Drosophila melanogaster: one gene and its partners. The protein of the gene in region 3 purifies or fractionates together with the protein of the main gene of each other region. This does not show direct contact. Each region holds a gene or a part of one and is shown on either strand. Other genes may lie near its edges.

Evidence for each region.
Region 1: the proteins of Grip75 (region 3) and gammaTub23C purify together in Drosophila melanogaster (affinity purification with western blotting; 2 studies listed by BioGRID, with this or other methods). This does not show direct contact.
Region 2: the proteins of Grip75 (region 3) and gammaTub37C purify together in Drosophila melanogaster (affinity purification with western blotting; 4 studies listed by BioGRID, with this or other methods). This does not show direct contact.

What each region holds. Positions count from the first base shown.
Region 1 is NT_033779.5:2,970,942-2,975,948, forward strand, and holds gammaTub23C (gamma-Tubulin at 23C), read left to right. Parts: upstream 1-1,949; 5' UTR 1,950-2,117; coding exon 2,118-2,166; intron 2,167-2,224; coding exon 2,225-2,427; intron 2,428-2,487; coding exon 2,488-3,663; 3' UTR 3,664-3,917; downstream 3,918-5,007. Other genes in the region: Rrp1 (recombination repair protein 1), read right to left, coding at 1-113, 176-253, 315-1,356; CG9641 (uncharacterized protein), read right to left, coding at 4,237-5,007. UniProt on the Drosophila melanogaster protein: Tubulin is the major constituent of microtubules. The gamma chain is found at microtubule organizing centers (MTOC) such as the spindle poles or the centrosome, suggesting that it is involved in the minus-end nucleation of microtubule assembly.
Region 2 is NT_033779.5:19,182,773-19,187,557, reverse strand, and holds gammaTub37C (gamma-Tubulin at 37C), read left to right. Parts: upstream 1-1,831; 5' UTR 1,832-1,905; coding exon 1,906-1,954; intron 1,955-2,023; coding exon 2,024-2,226; intron 2,227-2,334; coding exon 2,335-2,925; intron 2,926-2,984; coding exon 2,985-3,515; 3' UTR 3,516-3,695; downstream 3,696-4,785. Other genes in the region: pigeon, read right to left, coding at 1-479, 538-839, 903-1,307, 1,366-1,429; CG46059 (uncharacterized protein), read left to right, coding at 4,223-4,366. UniProt on the Drosophila melanogaster protein: Tubulin is the major constituent of microtubules. The gamma chain is found at microtubule organizing centers (MTOC) such as the spindle poles or the centrosome, suggesting that it is involved in the minus-end nucleation of microtubule assembly.
Region 3 is NT_033779.5:10,480,392-10,486,357, forward strand, and holds Grip75 (Grip75), read left to right. Parts: upstream 1-2,903; 5' UTR 2,904-2,966; coding exon 2,967-3,035; intron 3,036-3,092; coding exon 3,093-3,237; intron 3,238-3,295; coding exon 3,296-3,581; intron 3,582-3,642; coding exon 3,643-3,802; intron 3,803-3,862; coding exon 3,863-4,369; intron 4,370-4,433; coding exon 4,434-4,806; intron 4,807-4,862; coding exon 4,863-5,136; intron 5,137-5,146; exon of another isoform or gene 5,147-5,202; coding exon 5,203-5,341; 3' UTR 5,342-5,356; coding exon of another isoform or gene 5,357-5,399; 3' UTR 5,400-5,463; downstream 5,464-5,966. Other genes in the region: RluA-2 (RluA pseudouridine synthase 2), read left to right, coding at 707-893, 957-1,179, 1,231-1,318, 1,372-1,592, 1,652-1,842, 1,894-2,183, 2,234-2,395, 2,454-2,528; Cog4 (component of oligomeric golgi complex 4), read right to left, coding at 5,357-5,399, 5,464-5,690, 5,761-5,946. UniProt on the Drosophila melanogaster protein: Gamma-tubulin complex is necessary for microtubule nucleation at the centrosome.

The sequences.
Region 1 (5,007 bases), 7.5 Mb from region 3:
TAATACGGCAGCTCCACCGCAGCCGGATTGCTCCGCTAACATACTTTTCGATCCACTCTCCTCATCGACATCGGGTTCTTCAGCCTTCGCAGCCGCCTTTTTTCGGCCTCGAGCTGCAAATAGAATATGATTAGCGTGGCATTGATATTAAAGTTATTGTTGACAATGTGCCCACCTGGTTTACTTTCCTCTGCTGCCTCCTCAATATCTTCGACATCCTCTGCCTTGACTGGAGCCTTTTTCCGTCCTTTAGCTGCGGATTAAAGATAGTTAATCATGGTTTCATCATTTACATTGATTTGACAGTTTCCCACCTGGCTTGGTTTCAGTAGAGGGCTTGGCTTCTTCTTCAACTACACCGTTTTCCTTATCGGCGGATTTCTTCTGCTTCTTCCCGGGTGCTGGCTCCTTGCCTTCCTTCTTAGCGCGCTGTTTAGTGGGCTTTGCCTTGGTCTTTGGCTCAAGTTCTACCGCAGTCTCACCATTGGTTGTTTTCTTGGCGCGTTTCTTGGGTGCAGCTGCAGTTTTTGGAGGCGATTCCACTTCTTCTTGTACTGATTGAAAATCTCCTACAGTCTCGGGCGATGGCTCAACCATCTTTCCCTTCTTTGCTCGCTTGCTAGCAGCCTTTGGCGGCACCTCATCCACTTCCGGCTCATCGAGAGCAGCTGCGATCTCAGAATCTGCCAAACGCTTGGTTCCGCGTGCCCGCTTGGCAGCTGTCTCAGCTTTCTGCACCTTCTCTTTGCTTATTGTCCCTGGTTCAGCTTGCTCCTTTAACGTTGGTACTGCTTCCTTTCTTGCCCGTTGTTTCGGCGGCTCTGCTGCTTCCTCGGCCCCTCCATTTGCTTCTGCCGGCAGCTCCTTTCGCTTCCGTCCTTTGGCCTGGGCATTCGTTGGTTTCTCAGCCTTAGCGCGTCCCTTAGGCGGTGAAGACGTCACTTCGTCAGGAGCAGGAGTGGGCTCTTTTTTGGCACGTGGCTTAGTTGCCTTTCCAGCTGGTAGATCGACTTTGGGTTCTGGTTCTGCTTCTGCAGTTGCCTTCTTGGCGCGTCCCTTCGGCTTGGCCACCACCTCCATCTGGCCGTTTTCGTCTGTATCCTTCGGCTGCTTCTTCTTGCCACGCGCGGCTGCAGTGGGCGCCTTTTGTGGCTCGACTTCCTCGGAGTTTTCCGCAGATACAGCCGTCTTGGTGGCTTTCCTCGCGCGCGGCTTTCCTTTTGCCGGCACCTTGAGTTCCTCAGCGGCAGAGTCTGCGTTTTCGTCGACTCCATTCCCATTGGCATTTGGAGTGGGGTCAGTGGGTTCAGATGCCAACGCCTCTGCTTGTTTTTTCACGGCCTTGACACGCGGCATTATGGAGTTCTACTGCTCGGACTGATAGGTTCTCAAAAATGACTTGTATTTACTTCCACAGATTTCCAGCTTTTTCTTTTGCTTGTTTTGCAGAGCCACTGTCGCTTGGTTCAGCACCCGATATCAACAAAAAGAAAACTGCGCGGGCAACGCGATTTTTGCAAGCCGGTCGGCTTGACTTTGGTCTGCTTACAACACTATTTGTGTGCCTTCCTTGGAAAAACACGACTGTGGAGCAAATATTGCACATTGTGACGTCACTAGTAGTACAAATAGTTCGACGTCATTAGTAGTACAAAATGGGTGGAGCTCAATAACCTAATTGAAAAACTTTCTTATAGAAAATTATATTCAAGTTAAGCTTAGTATTGAACTATTAGATTGATATTCATGACATGTTTCGATCTTTCTAACTCATAGTCTTAGATTTCCAACACTTTTTTGCCTTTCCAAAATACAAAGTAGAAAAATGTAATGTTTATTTTTATTTATTTAATTCACAATAAAGGTCTTAAGTAATCATATATATTTTATAACAGAGGGCACACTGCGCCACCTTTCAAATGAGGACGCCATTAAACGCTGCGGTGTTATCAACACTGGACTTTCTTAAAATTACAAAGTACGTCCCCGCTGTGGGATTTTTTAAAAATTTTGTTATAATTCGACGATCTTTTAGTTGTGTTTTATTTTATTTCGACTAATTCGACCTTAAACGCGAAACTTCACTTGACGATTCTGGCCGGAAACAACACACCACAATGCCAAGTGAAATAATTACTTTGCAGCTTGGGCAGTGCGGCAATCAAAGTAGGTTTCTGAAATCAGGACGAGTACCATCTGCATTGCTAAAATCGTTTAAACGCAGTTGGCTTTGAGTTCTGGAAAAGATTGTGCCTGGAGCATGGCATCTCCCCTAGCGGCGTGCTGGAGGACTTTGCCAATGATGGCTTGGACCGCAAGGATGTGTTCTTCTACCAGGCGGACGACGACCACTACATACCCCGCGCGGTGCTCTTGGACTTGGAACCGAGGGTGATCAATACCATAATGGGCTCGGTCTACTCCAAGGTGAGTCCTCTCTAAATAACTTTTAATTTTTTGCGCCAAACCTACTATTAACTCCCGTAGCTCTACAATCCGGAAAATGTGTACCTATCCAAGCACGGAGGCGGTGCGGGCAACAACTGGGCCTCAGGCTATAGCCAGGGCGAAAAGCTGCAAGAAGAGGTATTCGACATCATTGACCGTGAGGCAGATGGAAGCGATTCGTTGGAGGGCTTTATACTTTGCCATTCGATTGCTGGCGGAACGGGATCGGGAATGGGCTCCTTTATCATGGAGCGCCTGGCGGACCGCTATCCCAAGAAACTTATCCAAACATTCAGTGTGTTTCCCAATCAGGACGAGATCAGTGATGTAGTGGTGCAGCCATACAACTCCATGCTCACCCTGAAACGTTTGACTACGGCTGCGGACAGTGTGGTTGTCCTGGACAACACTGCTCTTAATCGTATTGCCTGCGATCGCTTGCACATTCAGAATCCCAGCTTTTCGCAGATCAACAACCTGGTCTCCACCATAATGAGCGTCAGCACCACTACGCTGAGGTATCCATCCTACATGAACAACAATCTCATTGGGCTGACGGCTCCTTTAATCCCGACGCCCCAGCTGCATTTTCTCATGACAGGCTACACGCCGCTGACTAGCGATTCGGATATCCATACCCAGCAGCTGGTTAATGTGCGAAAGACTACTGTTCTAGATGTAATGCGGCGTCTGTTGCAGCCCAAGAACATGATGGTGTCCACTGGTCCCGACAAGTCAAATCATCACTGCTACATCTCCATTCTAAACATTATCCAGGGCGAGGTGGATCCCACTCAAGTGCACAAGTCACTGCAGCGCATCCGCGACCGCAAGATGGCCCAGTTCATTCCCTGGGGCCCCACCTCTATCCAGGTAGCCCTTTCCCGCTCATCGCCCTACGTGCAGAGCAACCATCGAGTGTCCGGACTGATGCTGGCCAACCACACCAGCATTTGCTCGCTTTTCGAGCGAGCTCTCAACCAGTATGACAAGCTTCGCAAGCGCGGCGCCTTTCTTGACCAGTTTCGACGCGAGGACATCTTCAAGGACGACCTCAATGAGCTGGACGAATCTCGCGAAACTGTTGACTGCCTGGTGCAAGAGTATGAGGCAGCCACGCGTGAGGACTACATGCAGTTTTCAGTGAAGCGGGGAAATGGGCCAGTTGACTCCAAGTCGGAGGATAGTCGATCTGTGACCAGCGCCGGTTCCTAGTTCGCTTGTGCCAGAAGAAATGCGTGCCATGCATCTTAACCAATGTATTTTAAAATGTAATATTCTCCAATGACGATGGGATTCGAAATCCTTAAGTAGTAGTGATAAGACGATTGTTGGTATGACTCGCATGTATGTAAACGCTGTTTCGTCTTTTACGATATTTAACGTTCGTATTTCCATTGTTGCAAAATTACACATGAGATTTCCCGATCATGTTTAATATGTGACACATTAAATAAAAAACAGTTTTTAAATGTGGTAGTGAGTGTTTATTGAGAAGTATATTACATATTTCTTTGGTGTATTTTATAATATGAAATCCTTATGGTTAATGTCGACTTGAGGCAGTATGAACTGATATTGCAGTGAGAATTCACTTGTGAAGCTGCACGATACTGCTGTCCTTGTTCCGTTGTCATGTCATTTCGTATGTCAAATATGTTTAGGGTGTGTTATTCAGTTTAAAATGTTCCTATTGTATTGAAGAAGAAAAGAGTTAGATATATAAAGCACATTTTATAAATCAAGGAAGTTTTTCGTTACCATGAATCCCGTTACCCATCGGCTTGCTTACAAGGAGCATGTGTCTTCATTAACCACCTCAGCGTTGCAATTCTCTTCCTCCTGATGAGGCTCTTCGCACTCCTCGCCCTCCGCTTCAGGAGTGACCTCTACATCATTGCTCTTCTCGCCCGGCTCCTCTTCAATGAACTCCACATCATCGTGTTGCTCTTCAGCTGCCTCTTCCACCTCATCATGATCTTCAGTCATCTCATTCTCATTTTCATCATCATCATCTCCCTTCACTTCGTCCACAACGGTCAGATCAAGATGAGAAATGAACTCTTCGCCGTCCTCTTCGGTTAGGTCAATTTCAGATAACTCGGCGGTGGACCTAGCCTCTGAGCTGCGAACCGCCTTGAGGGCCTCCTTGCCACTTATCTCGCGGCAATTGAGCTGGTTAAAACGGTAGCTAAGGCAAAAGCCCTTCTTCTGCACCAGGTTGTAAGACTTACTGCCACAGCTTATTACTACCACCTTGCCATCCTTGGTCTGGCTTATACGGCCAAATTCCCAAGTCTTCGACAGAAGGTCGCTATTCTGGTCTTTTAAAAGTTGAAACGTGACCTTATCGGGCTCATCAGCTGAACGTGGTACTCTGACTGTGATTCCCTTTGTGGCCGGAATATCATCCTCCGGACAACAAATTAGTTTAGTTTCCGGTAACGCCGTGATCTTGGAAATCGCATGCTCCAGCCATTGGCGGGAGTTCTTGTCCATGCAGACAACTTGGATCATTCCAGTAAGAAATTGAATGCCCCCAAAATTGATGCTGGACTT
Region 2 (4,785 bases), 8.7 Mb from region 3:
AAGGTGGCCGCATCATAAGCCAGAGCTCCCCACTTTCGCAAAGGCACCAGCTGTGTGATATCGGGACTTCGATTGTGGGCTGCACACACGATATGGCAGTTCGGTTCGTGCTGCAGTCCCACGTCCAAGAGGTGGACAAAAAAGGCGGACGACACCAGCAAGTGATGCTGGCCGTGTAGCGCAAATGTTGGCCTCAGCAGACGGGCCTTTTGCCACGGCACACCGGGCATGACGCAGTGCACCACATAGCCGTGGTGAAGCAAAGTCACCGAGTAGGCAAAGTGCACATCCCTTTGCTCCGACTGCATCGGCTGGTACAGGTAGTAGTGACAGACGAAAAACATGCCCGAGGTGTCCGCCAGTATGATGAGATTTAGCGAACTATCGTGCACGCGCAAGGGAACCGCATCGTCATCGTAGCTTGGCGATTCCTCTTTGGAGCCATTGGGCAGCTTTGGCAAATTGAGGGGTATATTAAGCTGCAATAGAAAGATGTAACTACACCTATACGTAATACTTTAATCTTTAAGTACCTACCACTGTTTCCGTTGGCTGTTTTTCGTTAAACTGAAAGGCGGAGAGCGTGGGGCTTAAAGTAGGAGTTGTCTGCTCGCCAGCCTCCTCCCTCTCGTCCAGCAGACTGAGGCTCTTGGCCTTCGGCTTCAAGTGAATGTAATAAAGAGCCTGGCACTCGGGATCCCACTGGGCCCAGCTAAAGTTCCTGGCCAGCGTTTCGTAGGTCAGTATGCTGGTGTCTAGCCTCCAGGCGCTGCCCTCGCCTCCGCCAGTCGAGCATGTGGTGGAGCTCTGCTTGACCACGCAGCTGTACTGCTTGATGGCTAGAAAAAACAGGTACGAGCATGGGAGTTAGAGGTGGATAATGACATATACATGACACCTACATTCCTCGTGGGTGAGCACCAGTAGCTTGTCCTGCCAGCAGGTGCGCGTGGCACTCTCGACGCGCCACAGGAACTGCGTCATCATCTGGCGGTTGGAGGGCTCCGAGTTGAGGGGCGTGGCCGTGCCACCTTCGGAGCTCCTTACCTCCACGACAAAGGCCTGATAGAGCTTGCCCTCAGTTTTCTCCACGAAGGACAGCAATGTGACACTGCTGTTAATCGTTGCCTGGACGATCTCACGGCAATTGTCGAGGGTCCAAAGGAGTCGCAGCTGCTTCTTGGTGGCGTGAAAGTGGCCAATGCACGTCTCCTTGCGCTGATCCTCGTCCGCGTACTCGAATATCCAGGACGTGAGCAGAGATCCATCCTGTTCCTGGCCCAAAATGCGCCACTCGTTTGCCTTCTCTGCGATTTTTACGGACATCCATGAGGCTCGGAGTAAATTGGCGAAATACGAACTCACCTTTATAGCCCTGGCTGGCCAGGAGACCGCAGAAGTTGGCTGCCAAGTTCTCCTGCCGCAGCATTTTTATTTTTTATTCAATATTTGTACATAAACATTTGCAACGAATTTTTTCAATCAGCCTGCCAGTGTGCACGTTGCGCGCTTCTCAGAAAATAACGACTCCCGAGAACCGTTACTCGCAGCCACAGGGTGTGCTGTACAATTGAAAAAGCTAGTCCTTTAAATTTAAAAAAATAACAGTTAATGTTTTATGTAAATGAAAACATAAAAAATATATAACTATGGCTAATTTATTTGAACCTAAATATTTAAAAAAAAAATGGATCAAATCTTAATTCTAAGTATTTTCTATAAGTCCAATAACATTAAATAAATCATAAAGATTAGTAAAGAAAAATAGGTAATAACTTACTGTTGTATTGTACTTCTTGTATATCGATATTAATGACTTCCACTTCCATCTCCAGTTGGCCTTCGATGCACAGTTATTATTTACTGAGAAAGAAGCGAAATTAACTAAACTGCAATTCGAGCAAAATGCCCAGCGAGATTATAACCCTTCAATTGGGCCAATGTGGCAATCAAAGTAAGTTCTTCACGTCGAAATCGAAGTTAAGAGAAGCTCCGGCTTGATCGAGATCACTCCATTCCGCAGTTGGTTTCGAGTTCTGGAAGAGATTGTGCCTGGAGCACGGCATCTCCCCGGATGGCGTCCTGGAAGACTTCGCCACCGATGGACAGGATCGCAAGGATGTGTTCTTTTACCAGGCGGACGACAACCATTACATACCGCGGGCCGTTCTCATAGACTTAGAGCCCAGAGTCATTAACAACATCATGACCTCTCCGTACTCCAAGGTCAGTGCGGAAACTGGTCTTATTGGATCGGATTCTGATCTAATCTACTTTATTTTATGTATTTCATTTAAAAAACTATGTAGATGGATATGTGTTTCCCCTTTGCAGTTGTACAACCAGGAGAATGTGTTCCTCTCCAAGCACGGCGGTGGAGCAGGAAACAACTGGGCGTCCGGCTTTAGCCAGGGTGAGAAGGTGCAGGAGGAGGTGTTCGACATTCTGGACCGCGAGGCCGATGGCAGCGATTCGCTGGAGGGATTCGTGCTCTGCCACTCGATAGCCGGCGGAACTGGGTCCGGAATGGGCTCATATGTCCTGGAACGGCTGTCCGAACGCTTTCCCAAGAAGCTCATACAGACGTACAGCGTTTTTCCCAATCAGGACGAGATCAGCGACGTGGTTGTGCAGCCATATAACTCGATCCTTACCCTGAAGCGTTTGACCAAGTGCGCGGACAGTGTGGTGGTGCTGGATAATACCGCACTGAACCGCATCGCCACCGAAAGATTGCACATCCAAACGCCCACTTTTACGCAGATCAACAATCTGGTGTCCACCATCATGAGTCTGAGCACCACCACCCTGCGATATCCCTCGTACATGAACAACAACCTCATCGGTCTGACCGCCTCGCTCATTCCCACGCCCCAGCTGCACTTCCTGATGACGGGATATACTCCGCTAATGTCCGACTGCGAGGTATGATGATATGACATATGTAAATGGGAATGCAAATAAAAAGAGGCAACCACTTTCAGACCAAGACAAGCGTTCGAAAGACCACCGTTTTGGATGTAATGCGTCGCCTTCTGCAGCCGAAGAACATGATGGTTTCCGCGCTGACGGACAAGCAGAGCCGCCAGTGCTTCGTCTCCATACTGAACATCATCCAGGGCGAGGTGGATCCATCCCAGGTGCACAAGTCGCTGCAGCGCATCCGCGAGCGAAAGCTGGCCAACTTCATACCATGGGGTCCGGCCAGCATCCAAGTGGCTCTGCCGCGCAGCTCGCCCTATGTGCAGTCGGCCCACAAGGTATCCGGATTGATGATGGCCAATCACACGGGTATCAGTTCGCTCTTCAAGAGGGCCTTGGCCCAGTACGATAAGCTGAGGAAGCGCAACGCCTTCCTCGACAACTTTCGCCGCGAATCCATGTTCCAGGACGACCTGACCGAACTGGACATCGCACGGGACACGGTTGACTGCTTGGTGCAGGAATATGAGGCAGCCACCCAGATCGATTATCCCCAGTGGAGTCCTGCTGTCGAAGCTTCGAAAGCCGGTTAATCGATAATTATTTATAATTCAACCGTCAATACTTTTTATTTTTTTTATCAACAATAATATATGTATTTAAAATACTTTATAATCAATTTAGGAATTATAAAAGTTTCCAGGAATGATTCAACTTACATAAATCAAGCAAAAATAACTCTGAACGAGGTAGGAAGTAGTAACGATCACACCTCAACACACAAAAGTTCTGATATCAACTTTTGTGTGAAAAAAAGGGTTTTTTATTCAACTAAGGATATACAATAACTAAAATTTACTTATTCGTTAGTTAGTTTAAAGTTGGTCAACACAATCACTAATTCCACATCCACATGTATCTTGATATGTGTACATTTTTATAGTCATATTGGCTTTGATTTTTCATGTCACTTCACATTTCCCCGTAACAGACTGAGCGAAATGAATTTTCCATTCGTATTCCAAAATTCGATGTGTTAACACCTTTGAAAATAGTTTGTGTCTTACGTTTTCCGGTACCTATTTTGTTGTTTCTAAGATCCTATTTCTGTAAATAGGCCAAATGTAAGTGTTTAGTTCACATTGCATAGAGAACAATCTAATTTGGTTTAAAGTCCACTTAGCTGCCCTTTTAGAAGGAAATTAGGATACCCTGAACGCTTTTCCCCAAGACAAAATAAAATCGTAAGTGAAAACAATTTATATGATTAATTCTTAGCTTTCCTTTCACTTGGAAGATCATGTGCTGCGGACCCTGTGGACCTCGCTGCTGCGATCCGTGCGGCGGATGCTACAACTGCTGCGTGGAACTCTGCTGTGTACCCTGCACCCCAGCCTACATCCAGTGCTCATTTATGCCCTGCGGACCAAGAGGCTGTTGCTGAAGTGGGGATGTGCCAGGTGCCGAAACACGTTCAACCATATTGTACCTGAAACACTCGTAGATACCCAACATGTCCCAATAAACGAATTTTATAAATGTTAATAGATTGTGTCAAAGATGAATTCTATATTTCGACGCCGTGCTTTAGCGTACTCAAGGTGAAACCTGCTTGATTTGGAGACGAGTCCGATCTCGAAATTTATATTTTCGTGGGGAAAAAATGGAGATTCAAATGCGAGCAAAGTCGTTTGCAATTTGAGAATGGTTTGATCTTATGATCTGCCGACAACTTCGTGTCGCCTTCGCACATCCTCCCAGTGCGCTTCGTCACTACGTTGGCTGCCGTCAACAGACACTATACAAATTCGGTGTTTTAAATTAAGCCAGTGGTTTCCTTGACTGTCATAACTTCTAGAGATA
Region 3 (5,966 bases):
TGATAACAGCTTTAGAATAATCTCTGCAGGATCAGAGGTCACTGCAATTCTTAAGGTAATTGCAATTCTTAAGGTAATTGCTGTAGAGCTTCGTGAAACTACGAGGACCGACGCAGAATCAATGATGTCTATGGCACTTGAGATGTGGAGAAGGGAGGGCAGCACAAAAATGATAAAAAATGTTTGTATTTTATAGTTTTAAACTTTGCATAACCCTTAAACAACTCAAGAGACCTGTTTTATTATGGACTTTTGTCTATGTTTGCTTCCTGGCTAGAACATATTGGCTGGTAGACCAGTAACCAACAAAATACTACTGGTTCGCAGCCAATTTTGTAGTTTTTGTTTTCCTTTTAGTGTGCAACAAGGAAAAAACAAACAGTCTGTCTGAAAATTATGCTTGGGCTGCAGAATGAAAACGAGGAATTGTTTGCACACAAACACCGGAAACAAGGCTCCAATGTGTTAAGAGCTGATAAGCTGATAAGGATACATATATGATGACTTTGGCACGGTAGGCTTTCGTATTTTCTGTATCTTCAAGAGTGAAGTTCCTCAAATCTAAACGAATTTTCTAAATAGTAAGCAATTGTTCAGTTTAAAGCAAGAACTAAAGGTGTTTTTGCTCAAAAATAAAAAGAAGACATTCAATGAAGCTGAAAATATTTTAAAAAACTATTACCACCCGTCGTGGTTTATCTTACAGATATCCATATCAGAGGAAAAGTCTGAAACGCAATCAAAAGAAGTTTTGTCGGAAAAGCGAAAAGCTAGCAGCACAGATGACGAAGGGCATGTGAAAAAAGTAAAATTAGAGGCCAATAGTCTAAAAACGAAGCGTCCTGGATTCAGCGATGAAAGATACGACGAAACATCGTATTATTTTGAGAATGGTATGGCCAACATATTAATAAACCAACTTAGAAGATATTCTGTTATAAAATTGCAATCTATAGGTCTGCGGAAGGTGTATCCTTATTTTTTCACATTCACCACGTTCGCCAAAGGACGTTGGGTTGATGAGAAAATTCTGGATGTATTTGTCCGCGAATTTCGAGCCGCACCGCCGGAGGAATATGAACGCAGCCTGGAAGCGGGAAAATTGACTGTTAACTCTGAGAAAGTGCCCAAGGACTATAAAATCAAGCACAATGATCTGCTGGCCAATGTGGTGCATAGGTAAGCATCAGCAGGAAATCTCATTTGAATATGCACACATTTGCATTCTAGACACGAAGTCCCTGTTACTTCACAGCCCATCAAGATTGTGTACATGGACAAGGATATTGTGGTTGTGAATAAGCCGGCATCGATACCGGTAGGTATACTAATTTGGAAGGAATTTGATTTAATAACAATCGTATGTTGTAGGTACATCCTTGTGGAAGATATAGACACAACACGGTAGTTTTCATCCTGGCCAAGGAGCACAATCTGAAGAACCTGCGAACCATTCACAGATTGGATCGTCTCACATCTGGCCTACTTTTGTTTGGACGGACTGCTGAAAAAGCCCGCGAATTGGAGCTGCAAATCCGAACTCGCCAAGTGCAAAAGGAATACGTTTGCCGCGTTGAAGGACGCTTTCCAGAGTAAGTCCAAAATGCATCTAATCTTTTATATATCTGCTTATTTTTCATATCTTTCGTAGTGGCATAGTTGAATGCAATGAGAAAATCGACGTCGTGAGCTACAAAATAGGTGTTTGTAAGGTTTCACCGAAGGGCAAGGACTGTAAGACCACATTTAAAAGAATCGGCGAGGTGGGCAGTGATAGTATTGTTTTGTGCAAACCACTAACAGGACGAATGCACCAAATACGAGTGCATTTACAATTCTTGGGTAAGTGACAACCAGATAATTCCATTCAATTATAACACTCGTATTTCACAGGCTATCCCATTTCAAATGATCCTTTGTACAACCATGAAGTTTTCGGTCCATTGAAAGGAAGAGGAGGAGATATCGGTGGAATAACCGAGGAACAGTTGATCAGTAACCTAATTAGCATTCATAATGCAGAAAACTGGTTGGGCTTGGAAGGAGATCAAATCGTATCAGGGGAAATAAAAGACGTAGCAGCAAGTACTTCAGTAGTAGAGGCTCCCTCAGTAGTTCAGGCTCCTATTAATAGTGAAACTGAAAAGCCTGTGATTTCAAAAAACCTTGAACCAAGTAACGATGTAAGTAACTTAAAATAGTTGTACAAGTCTGGAGAACACAATGCTTATAGGCTACTGCACAGATTGCCACCCAAACGTGCTATGAGGAACCAGACAGGTCCTTTGATTCCAAGAAGACAACTTCGGATCCGCAATGTTCTGAATGCAAGATAAACTACAGAGACCCCGGCACAAAGGATCTCATAATGTACTTGCATGCATGGAAATACAAGGTCAGTTTCAAACTATACATTTTTAAAGATTTAATTTCAAATTAAATCTTATTTTCAGGGCGTTGGTTGGGAGTACGAAACCGAATTGCCGGAATGGGCGTGTAATTCGAATATTGATTACGATAAAGTATAAAGGAAAAATTGATTGCAAACACGACGCTTTAGTAAAAAGAAATATTTTTACAGAGTTTAACAAATTGTGTTTCCATTTTATCTTCATTTGTAGCATTGTTTTATTACTTTGCCGAATTACTTTATCATTTTGCGGTGCAAGGGGATGTCCTCGTGGAGTATTATTTATCGTCGTGCAGTGGATGTCCTAGGATGCCAACTATCCTGGATAATACTTTGCAAGAACTTCACCTGAACACTCTGCTCACAGTGGTTTCAGTTAACTGCAGTTCTGCGAATTTTTAAAATTTAAAACCACAATCAGTTGGCGGGAAGGGAATGCCCCTAATTCTATCGATTAGTTGGTTCTTATCGATAACGGACGGGGCAGGATATGTGTCATCTCTGTCGGACATCTGGCGCAAATGAAATACAAATACCGAATTAAAGCAGCAAAACAATGATACACGATTTGTTATTGGCTTGCCGGAGCCACAATCCGGAGCAGCTGGGTATAAAGGCATTCAATGTAAGTAAAATCGTTGGAAATAAATAATTTCGAAAGCCTTACAAGCGAACTTTCTAGGAAACCACAGTCATTGACCAGTTCATACATCCTTGCGAGCGGGAGATATTTATGGACATTATAAAAATCATTAAGGTTTACCAAGAAGTTGAGCAGTTTACCCATTCATCGGGAAGAAAGTCCGACACACATGGCGAACTTCCAGGTATAAATGGAAGGTTGCATAGTGTTTTTAAGATTTCAAATGTGTATTTCTATCGCAGATAGTTTGCATGGTTACTACTTGCTCAATTTGGCCAAGGGCATTGAAATGGCTCTGGAGGAGTACTACGCTGAGATCGGACGTCTGGAGAAGTATTGTTTGGGTAACGAGCGCAATTCGCTCTCATATGTCTACAATGCCCTGTACGCCAAGTTCCCCCTTCTGGTCTTCATGCGTAATCTCATCACAGAGATCCATGTGCTGAATCTGCGAGGATGCGTCTTGCTCCACAATCTACATCAGCAGTGCGAGCACGGCGATATTCAACTGGAAAAAGCAATCAAGATGCAAGTGATAGCCAACACACAACGCCTTGTTTCCATAATCCAAATGCTCTTCATTATGCAGAATTATGAAGCCTGTTAAGAACGCATTTTTCTCCAGCCTGGCTCACTGGCTGTTGTTTGGAGTGATTGACGATGTCCACTCGGAATTCTTTATTAAGTTTACCCCAACGGATGCAGTTGATGGTAGCTCATTCAGCAAATCAGCCACTTGCTCACTTCTGGTAACAACTTAACAAGCGATTATCCTTACCCTATATTATAAATAGCATATCTATATCCAGAGCGCAGAGAAAAACCCCGAGGATTACATATGGCAATATGAGGTGAATATGTCTCAGCTGCCAGGATTTTTCTCCATCGTTTTAGCCGAAAAAGTTCTGTTCGTGGGACAAACAGTGCTGGTCTTCAAAATGGGGCGCAACGTAAAAGTTAAAAACAAAACCGACCCACTGGCGGCAAAACTGGCTGAATTGGATTCAGATGATATCTATCAGCTGTGGAGCGGCAGGGAGTCCGAGTTCTTCAAAATGGTCGTTGATTTGAGCAACGAGGACACCATCAATGTGTTTCGCCTCGAGAAGGTTATTATCGATATCAAGAATTACGTTAGCGCCCGGCTGTCGGAGATCGCTGTGAACGAAGTGGATCTGGAGCGGCAAATGGGACTGATTAAGGACTTCTTTTTGCTAGGCAGAGGAGAGTTCTACTTGGAGTTCTGCTCCCAAATGGTCGGTACCATGGAAACTTATCGCGAAGAACGTTTTAAAAACGTCACTAGATCATTTGAGGTACTAATTACGCATAATGTTGTTAAATATGTATTTTAGATTTACATTTTTAACTCATACTCAGCTGGCAGCTACTGTCACGGGAATCACAGATGACTTGGACAAGTTTTCACTGATCTGCCAGAGAAGCACGTCTGAACCAGACGATACCTCCGACTTTAATTTTCTGCAAGGCCTCAGTCTAAAATATGAGTATGAGTGGCCATTGAATCTTTTGTTCTCCCCAACAACGATCGAGCGGTACAACAATATATTCCGATTTTTACTGATCATTCGAACATATCAATACGAAATACAAAGGGTCTGGGCCAAGCAGACTTGGAGGGCGAAGAGTGCAAAGGATGTGCCTCCAAATAACAAAATCATAACTCTTCGCAACTATCTAATGTTCTTTCTGAACAACATGCAGTATTACATTCAAGTTGATGTGCTGGAAAGTGAGTTTTTGAGCGCAATACGAAATTGATCGAAAATAACTCACATTTTGTTACAGGTCAATTTGGAATTTTGATGAATGTGATCAAGAGCAGGAGTGATTTCGAAGTTATACAAAGGGCTCACACTGTATTTCTGGCAAATGTTCTTTCGCATTGCTTCCTGCTTAACGAATCAGAGACCCAATTGAATGTCACCGGGAGCCAAAACCGAAATCCCATTTATGGAACCCTTCTTAAACTCTTTGGCATATGTGAGAAGTTTGCGCATATGACCCAAACGAAAGATCCGTCTGATGACTTAGAGGATGAAGTCGACCAACTTAATGAAAGGTATGTCTTTACATTTTGGATAAGTGGGTTATTATTGTATAATAATAAAACGTTGTTTTCTTATAGTTTTGGTGTTCAAATTGCGAGCCTTATCCAACTATTAGTCGATGTAAAATCAGCTTCTTGTTTGGGTCCGCTTTCGCAGCTGCTTTTGCGTTTGGATTTCAATTGTTGGTTCAGTGCCAGTCATAATACGTCCGCATGAATACGATGTTTTTGCCTAAAGTTGTAGCCGCTTAATGTCTTCTATACGAAAGTCATTTCTGAAAAACAAACAAACGATTAATAAACTGAAGAAAATGTTATATTTTAAATAAACTTTCTTACCTTAACGTTAAAAATGTGCGAACTTCGTTAGGTGTGAGATGCCAAGATGACATCTCTTTGTTATTCTCCGGATTCCAGTACTCCGATAGCTCCGTAATCTTGTCCAGATTGAGGAGCGTAGCTATTTGGGATATACGTGTCATCTTATCTCGAACCGACCACGATGTAGCTCCTGTTAGATAACTTCCCAAGGCACGAACTTCCTGATCAAGCACCAAACCGCCAAGCTTTTGAATAGAACATAATCCATTATTATTCTAATTCCACAAGGTAAATTTGACCTGCTGAGATACATACTCTATTAAAGCTGATTTTCTTAATAGCCCGTTCCAATTGAATAGTCACTTCGGTCGCCAAAATGCTAACGAGTGCATCATAGTTGCGCGGACTCAACGAGTTCTTAAAAGAGTTAAGTAGTCCATCCAATTGCACTATGAAGAACTGGACAAATGTCTCCCCAGCTTCGTAAGCAGCAAGTTCCTCCTGTAAAAACAGATTGCATT